Linked DNA regions of Nothobranchius furzeri. The main gene of each other region encodes a partner of the protein of the gene in region 3 in a complex. Links are inferred from orthologs where the notes say so. Each region holds a gene or a part of one and is shown on either strand. Other genes may lie near its edges.

Region 1 (6,046 bases), on a different chromosome or scaffold from region 3:
TTACAGCAAAGCAAAGGAGCACAAAACTTAAGGGGCAGTGGAGTGTCAACAAATAGAGACCCAGTCTCCCTCCGGTGCTGATTGGAGGGTAAATTACACCAGCAGAAATGAATTGTGACATAATAAAGCTGCTGCTCTTGTCTCCTCTCCCTGTGGTCACACTCAGGCCTCTCATTGCCAAGAAGAATCCGAAGATTCCCATGTCAAAGATGATGACGGTGTTAGGGGCCAAGTGGCGTGAGTTCAGTGCCAACAACCCATTCAAAGGCGCATCTGCCACTGCTGTGGCTGCTGCTGTGGCTGCCGCCGTGGAAACGGTCACTGTAGCTCAGCCAGCATCTGTGAGCAGTGGCCAGCTGAGCATTCAGCAAGGGCCAATCAAAAAAGCCAAAACCAAAGAGGGAAAAGGTGAGTCCTGTTCAACCGTGGCACCATTTTTATTGCTGTTTTAGGGATATTAGCATGGATTCTTCCTGGGCTTGTCTGATGTTTGTGTCTCAGGACCAGGAGTTAGAAAGAAAAGCAAGAGTGCAAAAGAAGCAAAGAAGAAACCCAAGCCGAAGAAAACTAAATCAAAGTCAGGTCAAAGTGGGAAGAAGAAGAAAGCGTCCTCCGTATGTATTTTAAATACTTTCAGCCTCTCAACGATCACCATTTCACACTTACTATTCTGACTGGGAGGCTTCACTATGTGAGTTTTCTGTTTTGCTCCAAGCTCCTGAGTCTGTGTTTGATTTTTCCAGAGTGAGGAGGACATCCTGGAGGAGTCAGACTTTGATGACATCAGTATCCACAGTGCCTCGGTGCTTTCTGATACCTCAGGGGCTGCCACCAAGAAAAAGGCCCGGCGTGGGCGGAAAAAAAGGAAAAGTATGTTTACTATTTACTCTTTCTGAGCTCTGGTGTGTGCTTTTCTCCCCCTGAAAAATCCCACAGAAATCTCTCAAAGCCAGACTGTTTGATGACGGGTAATGAGGTAATTAAAAAGTACTTTTTAAAAGCTGTGTTTATTTTGGCAACGCAGGAGAGGTGATCTTTTACAGCAGCTGTTGCTCTAAAACTCATGGAGTTTATTCAGATTTAGAGCCTGATCAGGGTTGAGTAGCTTCGTTTTCGTCAGAACTTAAACAGTTCTTTTGCTTTCCGTAGAGGAGGATGGCGATGGCTATGAGACGGACCACCAGGACTACTGTGAGGTTTGCCAGCAGGGTGGAGAGATTATCTTGTGCGACACCTGTCCACGGGCTTACCACCTGGTCTGTCTGGACCCTGAGCTGGAAAAAGCACCTGAAGGAAAATGGAGCTGTCCACACTGTGTGAGTACATCCATTCATTTAACGTTAAAGTCCCAGTAGTTGTCACACTGGTGTGTGACGTTTGTTCTCCGCATTCGACCCATCACCTGGGGGAGCGGTGAGCTGCAGACACGGAGGCGTTAGGTCCCATTTGTAAAGTCTCTGGTACGACCTGACCATGGATTTGAACCCACGATCCCCCAGTTCCAGGGTGGACATTACCACTCGGTCACTGAGCTGGTAACCCAGAAACTGGCATATTATGTCACTGCCTGCATGCTCATTTATTAAGACAATGCTTTGGGGCAACATCCTGGATGAGCAGAATGTTGGTGATGCAAGTAGAGGAATATGTAGCCCTTTGGAATAATACAGGTAGACAGGATATTTCATCTGCACCATCCTCTGTCTGCTAGTACTGAATCATTATTTAGATGTGGTCCTAAATGTCTTGTTTTGTATTTATCTCATCATTCATTGCACCCATTTTTTCTTGCATCTCGTGAGCATCATTGTTAGCAGTATATAAGCTCTTGATTTCCTGGATGAAAGCTGAGATTGGTGTTTGGGTCCAGTCTAATCAGCAAGTGTCGTTTCAGACTTAATTTGAGTACAAAGTGACATATCCATCGATCCATCCATCCATCCATTTATTTTCTGAACCCGCTTGTCCATGTAGGGTCGCGGGGGGCTGGTGCCTATCTCCAGCGGTCAATGGGCAAGTAGGCGGGGTACACTCTGGACAAAGAGCCAGTCCATCCCAGGGCAACACAGAGACACACAGGACAAACAATGAAGCATGCACACACACACTCAGGACAATTTAGAGAGACCAGTCAACCTGACTATCGTGTTTTTGTGGGAGGAAGCCGGAGTACCCGGAGAGAACCCACGCATGCACAGGGAGAACATGCAAACTCCATGCAGAAAGATCCCAGGCCGGGAAGCGAACCCGGGACCTTCTTGCTGCAAGGCAACAGCTCTAACCACTGCGCCACTGCGCAGCCCTCAAAGTGACATAAATAATGTTAATTCATTGTTTTTAAAGGCATGGGACTCAGAGAAATCATGTAATAATCGTTCTTTATGAAATTCAGTCGGTCACTCTGAGTTTCACATGCACGCTGAATGTGAAAACATTCTCCAGCCCCCAATTCTTGCATTAGCTGCAAAAAGGAAACTGACAATTAAACGATTGGGTCAGAAAAAGCCAGTCTCTTACATGTCACGGGGGAAATTCATGGCCCCGCCTTGGCTTAGGACTGCCCCCAGGAAGGAGAGAGCAAAGTCCATCCTGACTATCCATCCATCCATTTTCTGAACCCACTTTGTCCACGCAGGGTCGCGCGCCGGGGGGTGGGGGGGGGGCTATCTCCAGCGGTCAACGGGCAATCGGGTGGGGTACACCCTGTACAGAGAGCCAGTCCATTGCAGAGCAACACAGAGACACACAGGACAATCGATCAAGCACACACACACTCACACCTAAGGACAATTTAGACAGACCAATCAACCTAACAGTCATGTTTTTGGACTGTGGGAGGAAGCCGGAGTACCCGGAGAGAACCCACATATGCACAGGGAGAACATGCAAACTCCATGCAGAAAGATCCCAGGCTGGGAAGCGAACCCAGGACCTTCTTGCTACAAGGCAACAGCTCTAACCACTGTGCCACTGCGCAGCCCCGTCCTGACTAGCAGAAGCTAACTGTTAGCATTAACAAATCCACAACATAGCGTCACATGTTAATGCTTGTGATGTTTGTGGAGATAAAACATCAATGTTGCACTTTTTACCCAAGAAAGACGAGCGACTGGAAGCAGCAGAACAGTCCTGTTGCTGTCAGCCAATCAGAGGCCAGTAACGGCCAAAATCTAGACGTTTAGCCCACCACCTTATTTAGATGCTGGAATGTCATTAATAACGTGAGCTGATGCACTAAATGTCTGCAGCTGAATCTGTTTTTGAACACTAAATTAAAGTTAAAGCACTGGTCAATGTTTAAATCAGACATCCAACTAAAGTCAAACAAATCAATTACCCAACCAACAATTAATTATTCTCAACGGGTTCTTACAAATAAATTGTAGTTAAATATTAATGTTAGAACATTTCAGATGTTATTCAGGAACATAAATATACCTTTAAATTCTGCAGCAGCTCCAGGCTGCCCTGGGATATGCCTGACTTTAAATCGACTTTACTAAGGAGGAATGTCGGCCGATGCCGATTATATAAAAATATCAGATATCGGCCAGCTGATACATCGCTCTGCTCCTAGTTAAAACATTGTTAAGAGGCATGAAGATTGTCTAGAAGCTAGCTTGTTTTGTAGATTTGCTGCAGCCAGCTGTCTAGATCAGACCGGTTTTCTCCATGAAGGTTTTTGTCACCAAAGAAGTTTACCCTCGTCAGAGCAAACAGTTGCCGGCTGTTTCACGAGATATTTAACGCTTGAATGAATTTGTGAAACAGACCGTGCTCTAGAACGTTTGACTTGAGCACAAAAAATCCTCCAAGCTTTGTTTAAAAAATGCACTTTAATATTTTCATGGAGCAATAAAAATAGCTTATCTAGACAAAGTTATGTTGGCGCCGCTTTATTTAGTGGCTTTCCTCACGAGAAGGAACGTGTTGCATTTTGTTTTGTAACCTTTTATCTTCAGGAGAAGGAGGGAATTCAGTGGGAGGCCAAGGATGAGGAGGAGGAGGAAGAGGAGGCTGCAGGTGAGGAGGAGGATGACCACATGGAGTTTTGCAGAGTGTGTAAAGATGGAGGAGAGCTCCTGTGCTGTGACACGTGCCCTTCGTCCTACCACATCCACTGCCTGAACCCACCTCTTCCTGAGATCCCAAACGGGGAATGGCTGTGTCCTCGCTGCATGGTGAGCTCAGTCCAGATATGTTTAATGCTCTGTATCCTCACAAGCTGGTGTTCATCAACGTTTAGTCCTTTTTTGCTTTGGTTAAGTGGTTTAAACAACATGCATTACTTCTGTTCTTGCTCAGTGTCCTCCTCTCAAAGGAAAAGTTCAGAAGATTCTGCACTGGAGGTGGGGAGACCCTCCGCTGCCGTCGGAATCTCCTGCACATCCTGTTGGCAAGCTGCCTGATCCCATGGCCAAGCCCCCCCTCAAGGGCCGCCCAGAGAGGGAGTTCTTTGTAAAGTGGGCTGGCCTGTCGTACTGGCACTGCTCCTGGGTCAGCGAGCTGCAGGTGAGACGCCAGAGGTGGAGCCGGTTTCCAAAACCAGCATTTAGCAACAGTAACGATCTGTCTTCTGTGATGAATGTGGGACACAGGAAAGTCGGGGGGTTACTGAACATTATTTGGTATTTTAGGTTTTCACAAAAACAAACATCTAGTTTCAGGAGCAAAAGTTACTCAGTTTAGTCACTGACTGTCCTATTTCCAAAGTAGAATGCAATACAATTTCTCTAAAAAATATCATTTTCTAATGAATCTGTTAAGGGCATACTATGCACATTTTTCACATTTTAGGCATTTTCTTGAGCCAGTATGTGCTAAAATGACCCTTTACAGGGTTAATGAAAGGCCATGCTGACCCCCATGCCCTCTGTGGCCAGAATGCTGCCGTGCAACCTCAGAGTATCTGGACCGGTCTGTTATGGGCCATTCCCATCTGTACCGGGTCGGCCCGGGCTGGGTAGCCCCAGTCGGCCCCAGCCTGGCCCGGTTGATTCCACACATCCTTGTCTTAAGCCCATGTGGGCTGATTCTACCCACCAATCAGAGGCTTGCTCTAATGGAAGGTGTGGATTTACTGTCAGCAGTGGGTGTGTTGGCCCTGGTCGGCCTGAAGCAGACCCCCTCGAGAAGAGGGCTGAGAATGAGCCTTGGTTGGCCCGGAAAAATACCAGGCCGCCCAGATGTGTAAACAACCTACGCTACCCGGCCCGGGCCGACCCGGTACAGATGGGAATGGCCCATAAGTCAGTAGTAAAGTGGAGCTGACACGCTAGTGCTGAAGTCTGCTTCCAGGGCATTTCCTGCATGTTGTAGATCATCAACACAGCTGATTTGTTTGAGTTGGTGATGAATCACTCCTGTAGAAGCTAATGAAGGCTGAGGAGACATTTCAGCAGTTAGATTAAGATGTTTTATGAGATGAACGCACAGCAAAGAAGAGTTTCACTTTTGGTTCTACGACAGTAAATGATTAAAGGACTCTACGGGGTGCTAAAAGCAAACTAAATCTACTGAACGTGGCTTTAAGTAGGAGTTTACCTGACCAGAATCGTCTGTGTGTGTGCGTGTGCGTGTACGTGTGTCTGTGTATTGTGTGTGCGTGTGCGTGTGTTTGGGGTCGTGCAGCTGGAGCTTTACCACACGGTCATGTATCGGAACTACCAGCGCAAGAACGACATGGACGAGCCCCCGCCATTTGACTACGGCTCCGGAGAAGAGGAGCTCAACAACGAGAAGAGGAAGAGCAAAGACCCCCAGTACGCTGTGATGGAGGAGCGCTTCTACCGTTACGGCATCAAACCAGAATGGATGGTTATCCACCGGATGGTGAACCACAGGTGCCTGCTTGCACTCACTCTCAAAGTTTGTCATCATTTAAATGAGGAATAATTATTTTTGTAAAGGAACCACAATGTTTACATTTAGTTATTTTCTTTTTCTTGTTTTCTTCTTAGTCATGTAATCCCAAACATTCCAGTCCCAACATAAAAATCTTGTCTCCTCTGTAGTTTTGACAAAGATGGTGATGTGCATTTCCTGA
Region 2 (6,146 bases), on a different chromosome or scaffold from region 3:
AAATCGGAGACTGTTTCTCAGTTGAATTTTAGTCACATCCCGCCCTCGCCACGCCCACTTACTGCCATAAATAGTCAATGCAAAATGCCTTGTGGATCTCATGCATATACATAAGCCGGCTGTTGCAGCGCTCCGCCAATGACATGGCGACTATAGATCAAGGCAGATCAAGGAAGCGCTATTTCACAGAAGCAGAAATTGAGGTACTTGTGGGTGAGGTGGAGAAATGAAAGGAAGTGCTTTTGCAAAAAAAATAACAGAAAATCCACGGAGTGGCACAGCGTTGCTGAAGCAGTCAATGTTGTGAATTCTTCAGAGAGATCTGTGGCGGATATAAAAAAAATGGTCCAATCGGGATTCGATCCCCAGACTCCTGGGTGAAAGTCACACACGCTAACCAGTCATCCAAATGGAGATCTCCCCTGTACAAGTAGCCAGGGCTACTGATCAATCGAGTCACAGTGACAGGACACACACTGTCACAGACGCATGACATTCTGTCTCAATCTGTCCCCTTGCTGATATTTTGCATTCCGTATTCTGCGCTTCAGGCTGTGTGTGTGTGGGGGGGTGGGGGGGTGGGGGTCTTGTTCTGTGTGAAAACAAAGCAGTACAAGTGATAATGCTGCAGGATTTCATAATTTTATCCTTCTCAGCAGCAACACTGCAGGTGCTCTCCATGTCCAAAATGTACGTAAGCCAGGTCCTTAGTCAACTTAAAGTTGCGCACATTTTTCTACTACGTTTTCTTTCATGAATCCCAAAGTTTGCGTGGAAAGTTGCTTACGCAGTTTTCCGACCCCGTTTTGTGCGTAAGCAAGCCTGATAAATGAGGCCCCAGAACTTAGAGATGTGGTGGAATGGGAGATTCATCGTGTATGTTGCTATGTGATGCAGTCATGTTAATTTGGACCAACATGGACTCTGAGAAATGCATCTATAATCTTGTAGAATTCATTTCTGAAGGCATCTGCCTCCAGTAAGCTGTACCTAATAAAGTGACCAGTGGGTGGATGCATTTTAGGGGAACATTTTGCTGATTGGCTTGTTGCAGTTCTGAAAAATACCAACTAGCAGAGTCACCACAGCTTCCAGTAGAAACAGGGGCTTAATAATGGACTCCTGCTCCACAAATGCTGGGAACGAGAGATTAGAGCTAATTCTGTAATCTTGCACGAAAAGGCTTTTAAGACACTAATTTCAGGTTTTGGCACTTAATATTCTCACAGTTAATTTCTCAACATGTAGACACAAATAATTTAAATACATTTTACAACAAAAAGGACAGAATCAAAAAGGAAATCTACTTTTACTCTGATCAAGAAAAACAGACATTTTACATGTTAGCTGCTGTTTATCAGATGTGATGCTGCACCGCCTCTCAAAACTCTGGGTGTTTTTTCTCATAACGACGTTATTCAAGCAGATCAGAATCGGATGCAGGAAATAAAAGAATATTTTAAAATGAAATGCGTTTTAAGAACAGGTGCAGATTTTCTGTTGCAGCTCGAGTGGTTTGCACGGAGTTGAAGATAGCGGTTTTACATTAAACCTCAGGGAAAAAAGTTTGGACAGGGCTGCAGTTGATGGAATAAAATATGATTTGTGAGATTTCCCAAAACGTCACAGAAAACCTACTGCTGCAGCTGCGTGTGTGTGTGTGTGTGTGTGTGTGTGTGTGTGTGTGTGTGTGTGTGTGTGTGTGTGTGTGTGTATTTTACCTCAGCTGTTATGTAGATTAAACAAACCCTATTCTTAAGCTTGACACAACTTCTGTATAACAAACAATTATTAAGCATGGTCCTTTATTAGCCAATCACATTCATTTCAGGATGCATGCCCACTGACTAAATCCCTCCAATAAAAATTCTGGATTTCTACAATTTATAATAATAAAATCAAACCACCACGTACAGTTCCTCTTCCCATTTACTCAGCAATTTACTGAACTAGGTCTGAACTTGGTGGTCTGACACACTTCTTCAACATATTTTTTGGATGGGGACACAAGGAAAAAGGTGATACAGGCAGCAGATGAGTGGTTTGTGGCCAGCACAGTTAAAAAAATAAAAATAAAAAGACATCAAAGCCCAAGGATGCTTCTTATTATCTTGTAAAATTGCAGCCATCTCTTCAAGGGCAGCTCTTTGTTGTGATGCTGCTCTGAAAGGATCCTTGTTATCAGGCCTCATTTCTGGCCTTTTTTTAATCTAGATTATTACAACAGAAGAAAAATAATCCCAAAGTGTGTTTACTCAGCAATTAATAAGAGTTCATTGTTGTGGTTTCAGTTCAGTTTGGCCAAATTCAATTATTACTAGGTTTACTAGACAGACTCAACAATATTTTACTAAAATAACAACTTAAGACGTAAATGTGAGTGGTTTAGTGCCATTTGATATATATCACTTGCTGGAGTAAAGTGAAGTAACATGTGTTCCAAAATGTGCATTTTCAGCTAATAAACAAACAGCAAAGGAAAATAATCTTTGCACAACTGGTTTGAAAAACCTAGCGCATCAATAAAACTGAGTGGCATGAAGAAACTGAACAAAGTGACATTTGGTGACTGAATTGTTAACTTTCTACCCCTCTCTGGACTAATCCTGTTCTCACGCAGGTAGGCCTCCTTTAATTTGATATATGACGTTCACTTTGGGCTATTTCTGATGCTGTATCCGAGCCAAGTACAGTCACAGCATCCCTGAATTACAGAACAGTTGTCAGAGTAAATATGTGGTAATGTACAACAACACAGAAACGCTCACTATACAACATCATTCCAAACAGGAGTGGACACTAATCTGGGCACTAAAGTATGTGGAAAATAAATAAATAAAAACAAAAAGATCACGATTGGACACTGCCACGTGACTATCTTACACCTGTCTTACCTGAGTGGGACTCAAGAATCTTCATTAGGTATTAAGAGACTCCCTGGATGTGCAAAAAGCTTAATCTGGAATATTTTGTTGGTCATTTCTACATTTAAAGTGTTAAAACTAAATGTAGTGTAAAGTTTTTGTCCCGGCTGCCTCCTTGCATTGATGCCTATGCGGTTCCAGTAAAGTACTCACGATGTTCCTTACAGGAGGCAGCAGAAAGAACAATAGTTAGGTGAAACTTTCAGAAAACCCGTGACATGTTATTTAAAATAAACTAAACCGTCATGGAGGGTTCAGGTGTGCCAGAACACCGAGATGGCTCTCTGGGTTCATTAAGGGGGAAAACAGCAAAAGAAGCAAATGTTTAAGAGAACCGCTCGCTGCTCTTCATCACCATCCTCCTCCTCCTCACCATCATCTGCGAGAAGCACAAAGCTCTCCCAGCTTACGGAAATGTTTTTAAAAGACGAGCCACGCTCATAACGAGCTTCCGTGGGTAATGGCGAGTCCGCCGAGTAAAAACGCCACACGGCTCCGAAACGCAAACGCCCCAAAGCTTACCTCCAACCCGGTACATGTTGGCTGCCATGACTGCCCCCGGTCCCGGGCTTCCTCTCCAGGTAGAGGGGTGGCTCTCTGCTCTCTCCCGCTGCCGGAGCTGTGTGTTGGAAAATGGTGGATTGATCAATACGAAACAGACTGCCCGAGAGACCTTAAAGAGACAGTACACCTTTTCAGGAAACCCAACTTATCGGCACGGATAACAAAGGGCGCGTTAATCTCACTACTTATTACCTTTATAACATCGTCAGTGGCTAACTACGCCATTATTTCTTAATATATATCTCAATATGCGTCACAGTCACCGCAGTAGCCCACCGCCTTTCGGTTTAGTCGTGTTTTTGTTAATAGTTAAAGTAGTTATCTGGTAGTTAGAATAGTTATTAAGATAAAGTAAACTCGCCTGTTTTTGTAACTTTGTCCCAATTTTTTGTTCTCCCTCATCAACTGAAATATCGCGAGATTTGAGAGTAAACCCCTTTACGTGACCTCTGGGTCACGCTTGACGTTAGAAGGGGTGTAATTAATAATTATTTTATCGTCTACACTGCTGTGCTCAGTGAAATCAACAATTTAATTATTTTGCTATAAAAATGCAAACTGAATGCAATATATTTTAAATAAGCCCCAAAACTCAAGGAGTTGACCCACTAATTTCCCTTCCCTGGGACAAATAAAGCTTTTCATTCATTTCATTCGTCATTCACTATGTTTATGAACTGTACAAGGAGTTCATGGGGATTGTATATAGAAATGTATCATGGGTTTATTCGCTCATTTAATTCATTTCCAAATATGTGTATTATTTTAAAAGAAGCAGTTTAACTCTCATCTTATTCTGAAGGTGTTTACCGGCCTTAACAACACTAGCAGAACAATCTGTACAGATCATTTTATTAGCAAAAATTTACACGTACAAGTGAATTGTATCAGTGACTGAACCAAAATAAGGACACATACTGCTGTTGCCTAGACGTCAATGCGCAAAATAAAGTACACAGTGTTCTATCGAGGCAAAAACATGCCAAGTGACTCATGGAATGATAATTTGGAACATGCAAGGTTTTAACATTATAAAAAATATCCAGGGATTTCCATGACTCAATAGTTAAATGTTTGCGTTTATGTTGTCTTTTGTTGAAATGGTAAAGGAGAAATGTACTGTAGCATAATCCACCATACAAAATAAATTATACATTTGCTCTGCTTTTGTTATTTTCCCAACACAAACACATACTCTTCTTGGATCCTTGCAGCATGTTGCTACTTATGTATAAATAATACATAAATTGCCTCAAACACCCTGCAAGAGAAATTCTTCTGCTGTCAGAGAAATCATTAGCAAGTGTTAAATATGAGTGACACTCTGTGATGAGAGAATGCAGCATGGTTTTTCCACAGCTTTGTTTTTAAATCTGGATGTGAGTGTAGAGCCTCAGTGCAGGAGGAATGCTGTGGTGAACGCTACATATGATCTATACCATATGGAAGCTTCAATTACTGTGGCCTAACACAAGGGACTACAGTCTGCAGTCACATGACTGTTGCGGGCCAATCGTGTGTAGTTGCAGTGTGCACTCGTTAAGTGTGCAGCATGTGAAGAATCCTGTTTTAAATCCTAGAGCTCTTTTATGGCAAAAAACAAGAGACATGCAGCATGGGAGGGTTTTACACAATAATCTTCAATTTGATCATTTTGAGTTTCCACGGCTCCATGTAATATTCTGTGTTTTTATGTCTGCCGGTATGGGCTTAATTGAAGAAAAAGGAATAGTCGACTGTAGCCTGATTTTTGGGAACTGTATCTACTTTCATTAGACCTGTTTACTTGGCAGCTTGCTGCTGTTGCAGATGTTCATTTTGAATCTACTTGCTCCTCTGCCAGATGTTGCTGTAGTCAGGATGACGAGCAGACAAGCGTGCAGGCAGGGCAGGTGTTTTCCCTGGTGGATTCCAGTCTGTAGTTTGGCTCAAAACTCAGCAAATCTTCTGAAACTTTTTTATTTGCTATCCTGGAAGATGACCTTGGATGAATTCCCTTCCCTCTTCTCCAACACGTTGCAGCTAGAGATGCACGGGAGAGACAAAGACACAAAGGAAATCAATTAGGACTGTATCCCTGAAGAAGCATCACATGCCACTGAATGTGCTTCCACAGATCTCTCTCTGGTGGGTGTAAGAAGGAAGGGTTAGAAATAAGGCCATTGTCGTGGCACTTTCTCCTGAACACCTCACAGAGAATATTCTTGATTAACTGAATGAAAAGCCTAATTACTTTTATTATAGAGCAACCTGTGACATAGCTCACTGGAGGGCACTTTATAAAGGAATGATAACTATATTGGTGCATGTTGACCTGAACTGTATTAGTCTAATTATGACATGTTCTGCACATGTTGAATCATGCTGTACAACTGAATTATAGTGGCTGTGAAATCAACAATTTTGGTTTTAATGATACAAATGACTGTTATAAATCCCACCATTCCTGCATTTATACCTAGAATACTAATAGACTCAGTAGGGTCGCACAGTTCATTTTATTTGGTGATGAGGTCAAGCAGGAATCCCCATGGACCATGTTTCAGACAATATTGTTGGCTGCAGTGGGAGCAGGTGGAAGAGAACCTGGAAAGGCAGACGAATTAAATCCTATAAAAGCCAGACAGAATGCATGTGTGTAAATAAAAAAAATGCAAA
Region 3 (6,146 bases):
AGATGGACAGAGAATAGTTGGTGAGTGGAAGCGAGGGTTAGGTCATGTGTCTGTGTGAAAGTAGTCACAACCGGCTTTTCACCAAAGGTTTTCAGACTAACCTGCTTTTCTCACAGGGCTGATCATTCCAGCAAACTGCGTCTCTCCACTGATTAACAAGCTCTCCACTTCGGACCAGAGCCAGCAGCTGGCTGTGCAGGAGCAGCAGAAGAGGCAGCAGCTTCACCCTCAAAGCCTCAGCCATGCACCCAACACATAGATCGGGTGGTGTCTCCTCTCCTGTCCCGTCTCTGTCCCTGACCTGCATGTCTCAGAGCCGCGGCTGCTCACCCTCCACCAAACCTCCCCGAAGCCTGAGGCGCCGAGCCGTGGTGACTGTTGGATGCCAAACAGCGGTTGTGTTTTAAATCGGAGTCTCCCGAACATCGCTGCTCGTACGCAGACACCCGGCATTCAGTGCGAGCGTGTAGATCTCCGCTGGTTAGTCCAGCTTTCTGGGTCCAAGCTAATGGTGGAAGAACCAGAGGAGCTTCTTTGGCTGAAGTAAAGTCCTGTGTTGATGTTTGACTCATGGCATCTGTCACTAGGAAATACAGGATTAATCGTTCGAAATATTCCAACATTCTGTTCATAATCAGATCAAAGCACCGTCGGTATTCCAAACAGTTACATCTGTCCAGTTAATTTGGTTTTGTTTCACACACGGGTCTGAAGATCATCACCTGCTGGTTTTGTTTTGTTTCTCAATCCCAACACAAGCAGCCAGAGCGGGTCCAGAATGCCTTTGTGTTAGTAGAGCAGTCAGGAGCCCGGTGAAGCCCTGAAGATGTTCGTCACACACGTCTGCGGGGAAGACCAACTCAAGTGATGCAGAAGGGATTCGCTGCAGCAGTGGCTCGGTTTATTATTGATAGGAGATGTGGCAGCATGTAATGAGTTTGAAGCTTAATGTTTGCTAAAAAGGATTTTCTTTGTCCAGATTTTGTATATTTCTAGTTTTCTGTTGTAGATATTTTCTTCCACTAGATGCTCAAAAGGAAAAGCTGCAGGTTTTTGACAATTCAGTTAAAACTCATTATGAGGTCTGTGTTATAAATCCGTTAAATGTTATTTAACATTCTAATAACCGCTGATTTTGTGTTGCTGCACTCCCGGTCTTTCCAAAAGATGCCCCCCCTCCCCCATTTGACCCGAGTTTGAGTTTATAGCAGTTGGATTTTCATTCATGTAGAGTTGATGAAATGATCTTTATCTGCTTCCAGAGCAGTCTGACCTGACGGCTTCACACCGTTTTTGTTGAGTCTGCTCAGGGGAGGCGCTCGTACCCAGAGCTCCAAAAAGCATGACCAGAGTCTTCAGTTTCAGTGATGTTTCGCTGCGTTCAGCTGGACTTGCAGCTTGTTTTCTTTGTACATATTTCAAACGGGTGTCTCCTTTCTTTAGGTCCTGTTGTAATTAAATCTTTCTGTGGTAAAGTGTGACCCTTTTGCCCCCTCACTCCTACATCTCACTAGGTCTGAAGACTGGCTGTTAAACTCAGGATGCGTTTTTGTGGGGCAGGTTTCTCGAACATACCCCGATCCTCTGGATTAGCTGGCGGTGGGTCTGCATCCACGTCTGCTTGACCGACGATGCATTTAAAAACAGACCTTTGTATTATTTGTACAGTTTGGAATTCTTCACACGGTGGATCTCAGTCTCTGGAAAGCACTGGGGGAGCTGCTCCTGAATCGCAGCTTACGTTTTAACTTGAATGTGCACCTTTTAAAAGCGGACGCCTCGCGCTTTTGTCATGTACACGAACTGCAGTGTGTGCAGGTTGTTTTTGAATGCTGTTGTAAGGGGAAGGGTCGCTTAAGATTCTCCGGAAACAACAGAAGGACTTTCTCCCACCTAAATCATCGCTGGAGTTGCACTAGTGACAAGACTTGTACTGACTCACCAGTACCTGTGCAAGAAGGAGTGCATTCTCAATAAACCCTGTTGGTTTTTGTACAAACTAGAAAATAAACACCAAATATAAAACATTAGTTATTGACTATATTTCATAATTTGATGGTTTAACTTAAATTTTTTTTTGTAGCTACTTTCAGGTTTATGTATTTTCATTTTTAAATTGTGTCCTTATAGAGGTTTAGACTTAAAAAATTCTACAACTAATGCTAAAATAGCATTAAAGTATGTATAAATATATATAATACTAGTGGCTATTGGAAAATGTGCATTACACAGAGAGTGTACAATTGTCCAAAAAGCCACTACAAGTACTTTTTAATAGTTTCTGTATAAACTTATACAAATGAAAATAGCCTTTTATTTTGTGGATTACCTTTGCCTATTTTTACTTCAGCGGTTTGTGATTACGCTTAGTTTGTAAGTTGCCAGCGATGATGCTCCATAAAAACGTGCTCCAGCCTCGGGTCAGCGATTGTGGGGGCCCCTGCCCTACTGGGGTCACGACACTGGGACTAACACTGTCCAACCACGTGGCCTGATGGGGGAAAAAAGGGATCCCTGAAAAGCCTAGTTTTAAAAAGAAGACGAGCACATGGGTCACCAGAACAGCTCCTGCCTTCTGCTTTGATTTTTGGTTTAAAACATCCGCGAATAAAACGATGGAAGTTCCCACACAAAACAAATTAGGTAATTTAATTTCTTTATTTTCTTTCATAATTTTTTTAAGTGTTGTAAATAAAACTCGCTCATTTGTTTGACTTAACGCAAACTAAGCATCTCCAAACATCTGCATCAAGTTTCTTGTTATGATGTAAAAACTCATTATTTTCTTTTAATCTGAAAAATAAAATTTCAAAGTTAACATAAAAACCTTCAAAAGTTGATTCTTCTGTAAGTGTTAAAAGTCCGTGGGCCGGAGTTAACTTTCTTACATAAAATCAGGCTAAATGTGTGTAAAAGCGGCTGATTTTCACGCCTTCTTGGTGAAAACCGTGTTTTAAGTGTTTTTCCTGCTGAGCCGCAGTGGATGGTAGAAACTCGGTGGGTGTCAATATAAAGTGACGGCCATATTTGCCGGTGCCGCTGTTGTAAACAAAAAGTGAGAGACAGACGCTTCACTGAATTTCGGGTCATTTTTATTTCTTTAATTTACAATGTCTCTGGGAATGTCTTATAAACCCAATGCCCATCAGCACATTCCGGGAACTTCTGGGAACCAGGGTAAGGCGAAACCGTGGGAGAAAATCCAAGCATCCGCCTGTTAAATCGAGTGTTAAATTCGGGGTCTCGGAGAATACCTGGAGAAGACCGTGTCTGTAGTTTTTGTCCAGTTATATATATAGGGTCAGATCCTGGGAGCTAGGCTAATTCATATCCGCCATTATTACTAATGTAAAAGAGCGCCATCCGGGAGCCGCGGCGGCCGAGAAACACGGTGGGGATGAGAAACGAGGCGGCGGCGGTTCCGAAAATGGGTTTCTCCGTCGTCCGGGGCCGCGGTCCCGCCGGGGGGTTGCCGTTACACGGTGACAAAAATGTATCACTTATGTCTTCTTGAGCCAGCCTTGTTCTGTTCCCTCCATGATGCTCCTCGGTCGGAGCTGCCGATTGATCTGCCTCTGAGAATTTTACGTCCCATCGAGGACACCTGGTGTTGGACACGGGTACTGCAGCTAAACAAAGAGGCAGCGCGGCGCTGTGTGAGAGGGTTAATAACGTGTTCACAAACGGGTTTTACATGAAATTAGCATCACTGGCTTACAATAGAACAATCAACGTGAGATTCTTTAAACGCGTTTTTAAAAAGAGTTTTAGTATATCAATATATTGTTGATGTCACTACAGTTCCAGGTGTAGTGAAGGCAGAAAACATGTCTAACAAAAGAAAAGCCCTCTGTTTTATTTTACGAACTTTGTGTTTTCACTCACTCATTTTCTGGCTCTGTTTGGGAGTGATGAGCATCAGGAGTGAGTTTATCAGGGGGACAGCTCATGTTAGGTCAGCGGGCTCCTGGAGGGCTCCCATATCCAGCATGTTTTACTTGTTTCCCCGCTCCAAAGAACCTGAATCAGTGGTTGAATTACTAAGTGCTGCAGAAGCATGTTAGTCACATTTGTTGGGACGAATAAATGACTAAAACATAGGAGATCTGGAGGACCAGGGTTGCAGAACACTGTTTTGGAGATGAAGTCAGAGAGACCAGACTTAGAGGTCCAGAGGAAACATTACGTAGGTAGAAGGATGCCGAGGGTGGAGTCAGCAGGCAGGAGGTTGAGGGGGGATTCAGTGAAAGAGGACATAACATTAGTTGGTGTGAGGGTAGAGGATGTGGAAGACAGGACTAGAAGGAGACAGATGACTGGCTGTAGAGGGACATGCCCAAAGCCAAAGAAGAAGACTCCTTTTCTGTGCCGCCTCATCCTCTATAGGGTCTTGGGGAACTGGTGTCTCAGCATTCTGCGGACGAGTGGTCACCCTAGACAAGTCTCCAGTCCCTCACAGGAACACAGAGACAAGCAACCACTCTGACTCACACCAGAGACAGCCATTTACACCCAAAGACACGCTTTTGGTTGGTGGGAGGATATTTACTTTAGAATTGCTTCAGTTTGAAATCTTTGGTGGTTCAATCCTGACTTCTCCCACATGTGGAAATGTCCTTGGGCAAGACTCTGAATCCTGTGTGTGTGTGTGTGTGTGTGTGTAAAGCGCTTTAACTGGTCATTAGGCTATAAAAATGTTGTATAAATATTTTCCTCCTACTGTTTATGAAAGGATATTGAGAACAATGCTACACAGAATTGGGGAAACATTCAGTTTTATTCGTTGTCCTCGCTCCTCCATTCTGTCACCACAGCATTCCCAACACTTGCTGTGAGTTTTAGCGTTTCAGAACCTCTTAACTGGGCGTGGACATCAACGGCAGATCGCTGCAACGACGTTGCAATAGCGACAAATTAGCCATATATTGAATATCTATGTTTATTTGAACTGATGTGGATTTTTTATTTGTTCTCCATACAGTTGGGAACCTTCCTTCTCCGTCGGCAGCTAACCTGGCCACGTTGCAGTCCTACAGGCCCATTCTGAGCGACTATGGACCTCCATCTCTGGGATTCTCGCAGGTGACTGCTGCCATTGGCCAAAAGAAGTTTTATTTAAATTTTAGTGTACTAGAGGTACAGTGTAGTCTAACTTAAACAAATTATACAAGAAACTCCACATCCAAATATCAACCATCTGCCAACACATAATCGGTTATTAGGGGCTCGACACACGGGAGGCGACAAACGACCGCGATCAGTGAAATTTGTCGCCGTCGCTTTTATTACCTGTCACACGGGAGGCGATCCGCGGTAGCGGCCAGCGGCAAAGCCGTCTACGCGTTCTGTTCCACGGCGAAATCGAAACTTCCGTTGTTTTGATTGGCTGTGTCAGGTTGGAGGGAATTAAGGTTATTTAAGCGGTTCAGAGTTAATAAAGTGGTAGATATGATGTTTCACAAGGTGCTGCTAGAGTTATGTGAAATCTTACTTCTGATTTTACTATAAAACATAATAATAATCAACTTCTCCTCCATGTTTGCTCGGAGATGTACGGAGCATCCTGTCCGCTCATTGGTCAGTGAATGAAACCTCCGTTGATTGGTCCTCATCCGAGCGACAGCGATGAAAAGTTGAAAATGTTTCAACTTTCTGGGATCGCGTCGCTGGGTCGTCCGTGCACGACACGTGCACGAGTGCAAAGTTTCACACGCACGTTTTTCGCGTTTCGCTTGGTAGGAGGGAGACCCGCGATTATCGCTTTGTCACGCATGTCTCATTGAAAATTAATGGAGGAGAGGCGACGTCGCCTCCCGTGTGTCGAGCCCATTATCCAAACTAAACAGTCAGATGTCACTACTTGCCATCAGCTTACATAAAGCCAACAAATGTCCGCTTTGTCAAGCTACCCTCAACATTGGCAGTCAACTTCCGGTTCAGAATGATAAAAGCGCACTTATTTTCCCGATTGAAATGGGTACTTCTAATAGCGTTAGCTTAGCTTAAAATACTCTGAACTAGGGCTGAACGATTTTGTAAAATAATCTAATTGCGATTTTTTTCTTCAATATTGCAATTGCAGTTTAATTCACAATTATTTTCTCAAGGGGCTTTTCTCATTTTTCAACTAACGGAAGCAAAAACAA

Evidence for each region.
Region 1: cyclin-dependent kinase 2-associated protein 1 (region 3) and chd5 share a complex: the UniProt entries of both Homo sapiens proteins name them as parts of the nucleosome remodeling and deacetylase (NuRD) repressor complex. The link is inferred for Nothobranchius furzeri from reciprocal best matches to the Homo sapiens genes CDK2AP1 and CHD5.
Region 2: cyclin-dependent kinase 2-associated protein 1 (region 3) and mta1 share a complex: the UniProt entries of both Homo sapiens proteins name them as parts of the nucleosome remodeling and deacetylase (NuRD) repressor complex. The link is inferred for Nothobranchius furzeri from reciprocal best matches to the Homo sapiens genes CDK2AP1 and MTA1.

Annotation. Positions count from the first base shown.
Region 1 is NC_091743.1:75,303,585-75,309,630, forward strand, and holds part of chd5 (chromodomain-helicase-DNA-binding protein 5), read left to right. Parts: intron 1-166; coding exon 167-408; intron 409-501; coding exon 502-614; intron 615-743; coding exon 744-870; intron 871-1,149; coding exon 1,150-1,316; intron 1,317-3,962; coding exon 3,963-4,181; intron 4,182-4,305; coding exon 4,306-4,512; intron 4,513-5,631; coding exon 5,632-5,843; intron 5,844-6,014; coding exon 6,015-6,046. UniProt on the Homo sapiens protein: ATP-dependent chromatin-remodeling factor that binds DNA through histones and regulates gene transcription. May specifically recognize and bind trimethylated 'Lys-27' (H3K27me3) and non-methylated 'Lys-4' of histone H3.
Region 2 is NC_091758.1:21,770,027-21,776,172, forward strand, and holds the start of mta1 (metastasis-associated protein MTA1), read right to left. Parts: upstream 3,587-6,146; 5' UTR 3,475-3,586; coding exon 3,447-3,474; intron 1-3,446. UniProt on the Homo sapiens protein: Transcriptional coregulator which can act as both a transcriptional corepressor and coactivator. Acts as a component of the histone deacetylase NuRD complex which participates in the remodeling of chromatin.
Region 3 is NC_091746.1:75,832,326-75,838,471, forward strand, and holds the start of cyclin-dependent kinase 2-associated protein 1, read left to right. Parts: upstream 1-3,002; 5' UTR 3,003-3,110; coding exon 3,111-3,177; intron 3,178-4,981; coding exon 4,982-5,082; intron 5,083-6,146. Other genes in the region: sbno1 (protein strawberry notch homolog 1), read left to right, coding at 1-20, 117-259. UniProt on the Homo sapiens protein: Inhibitor of cyclin-dependent kinase CDK2. Also acts as a component of the histone deacetylase NuRD complex which participates in the remodeling of chromatin.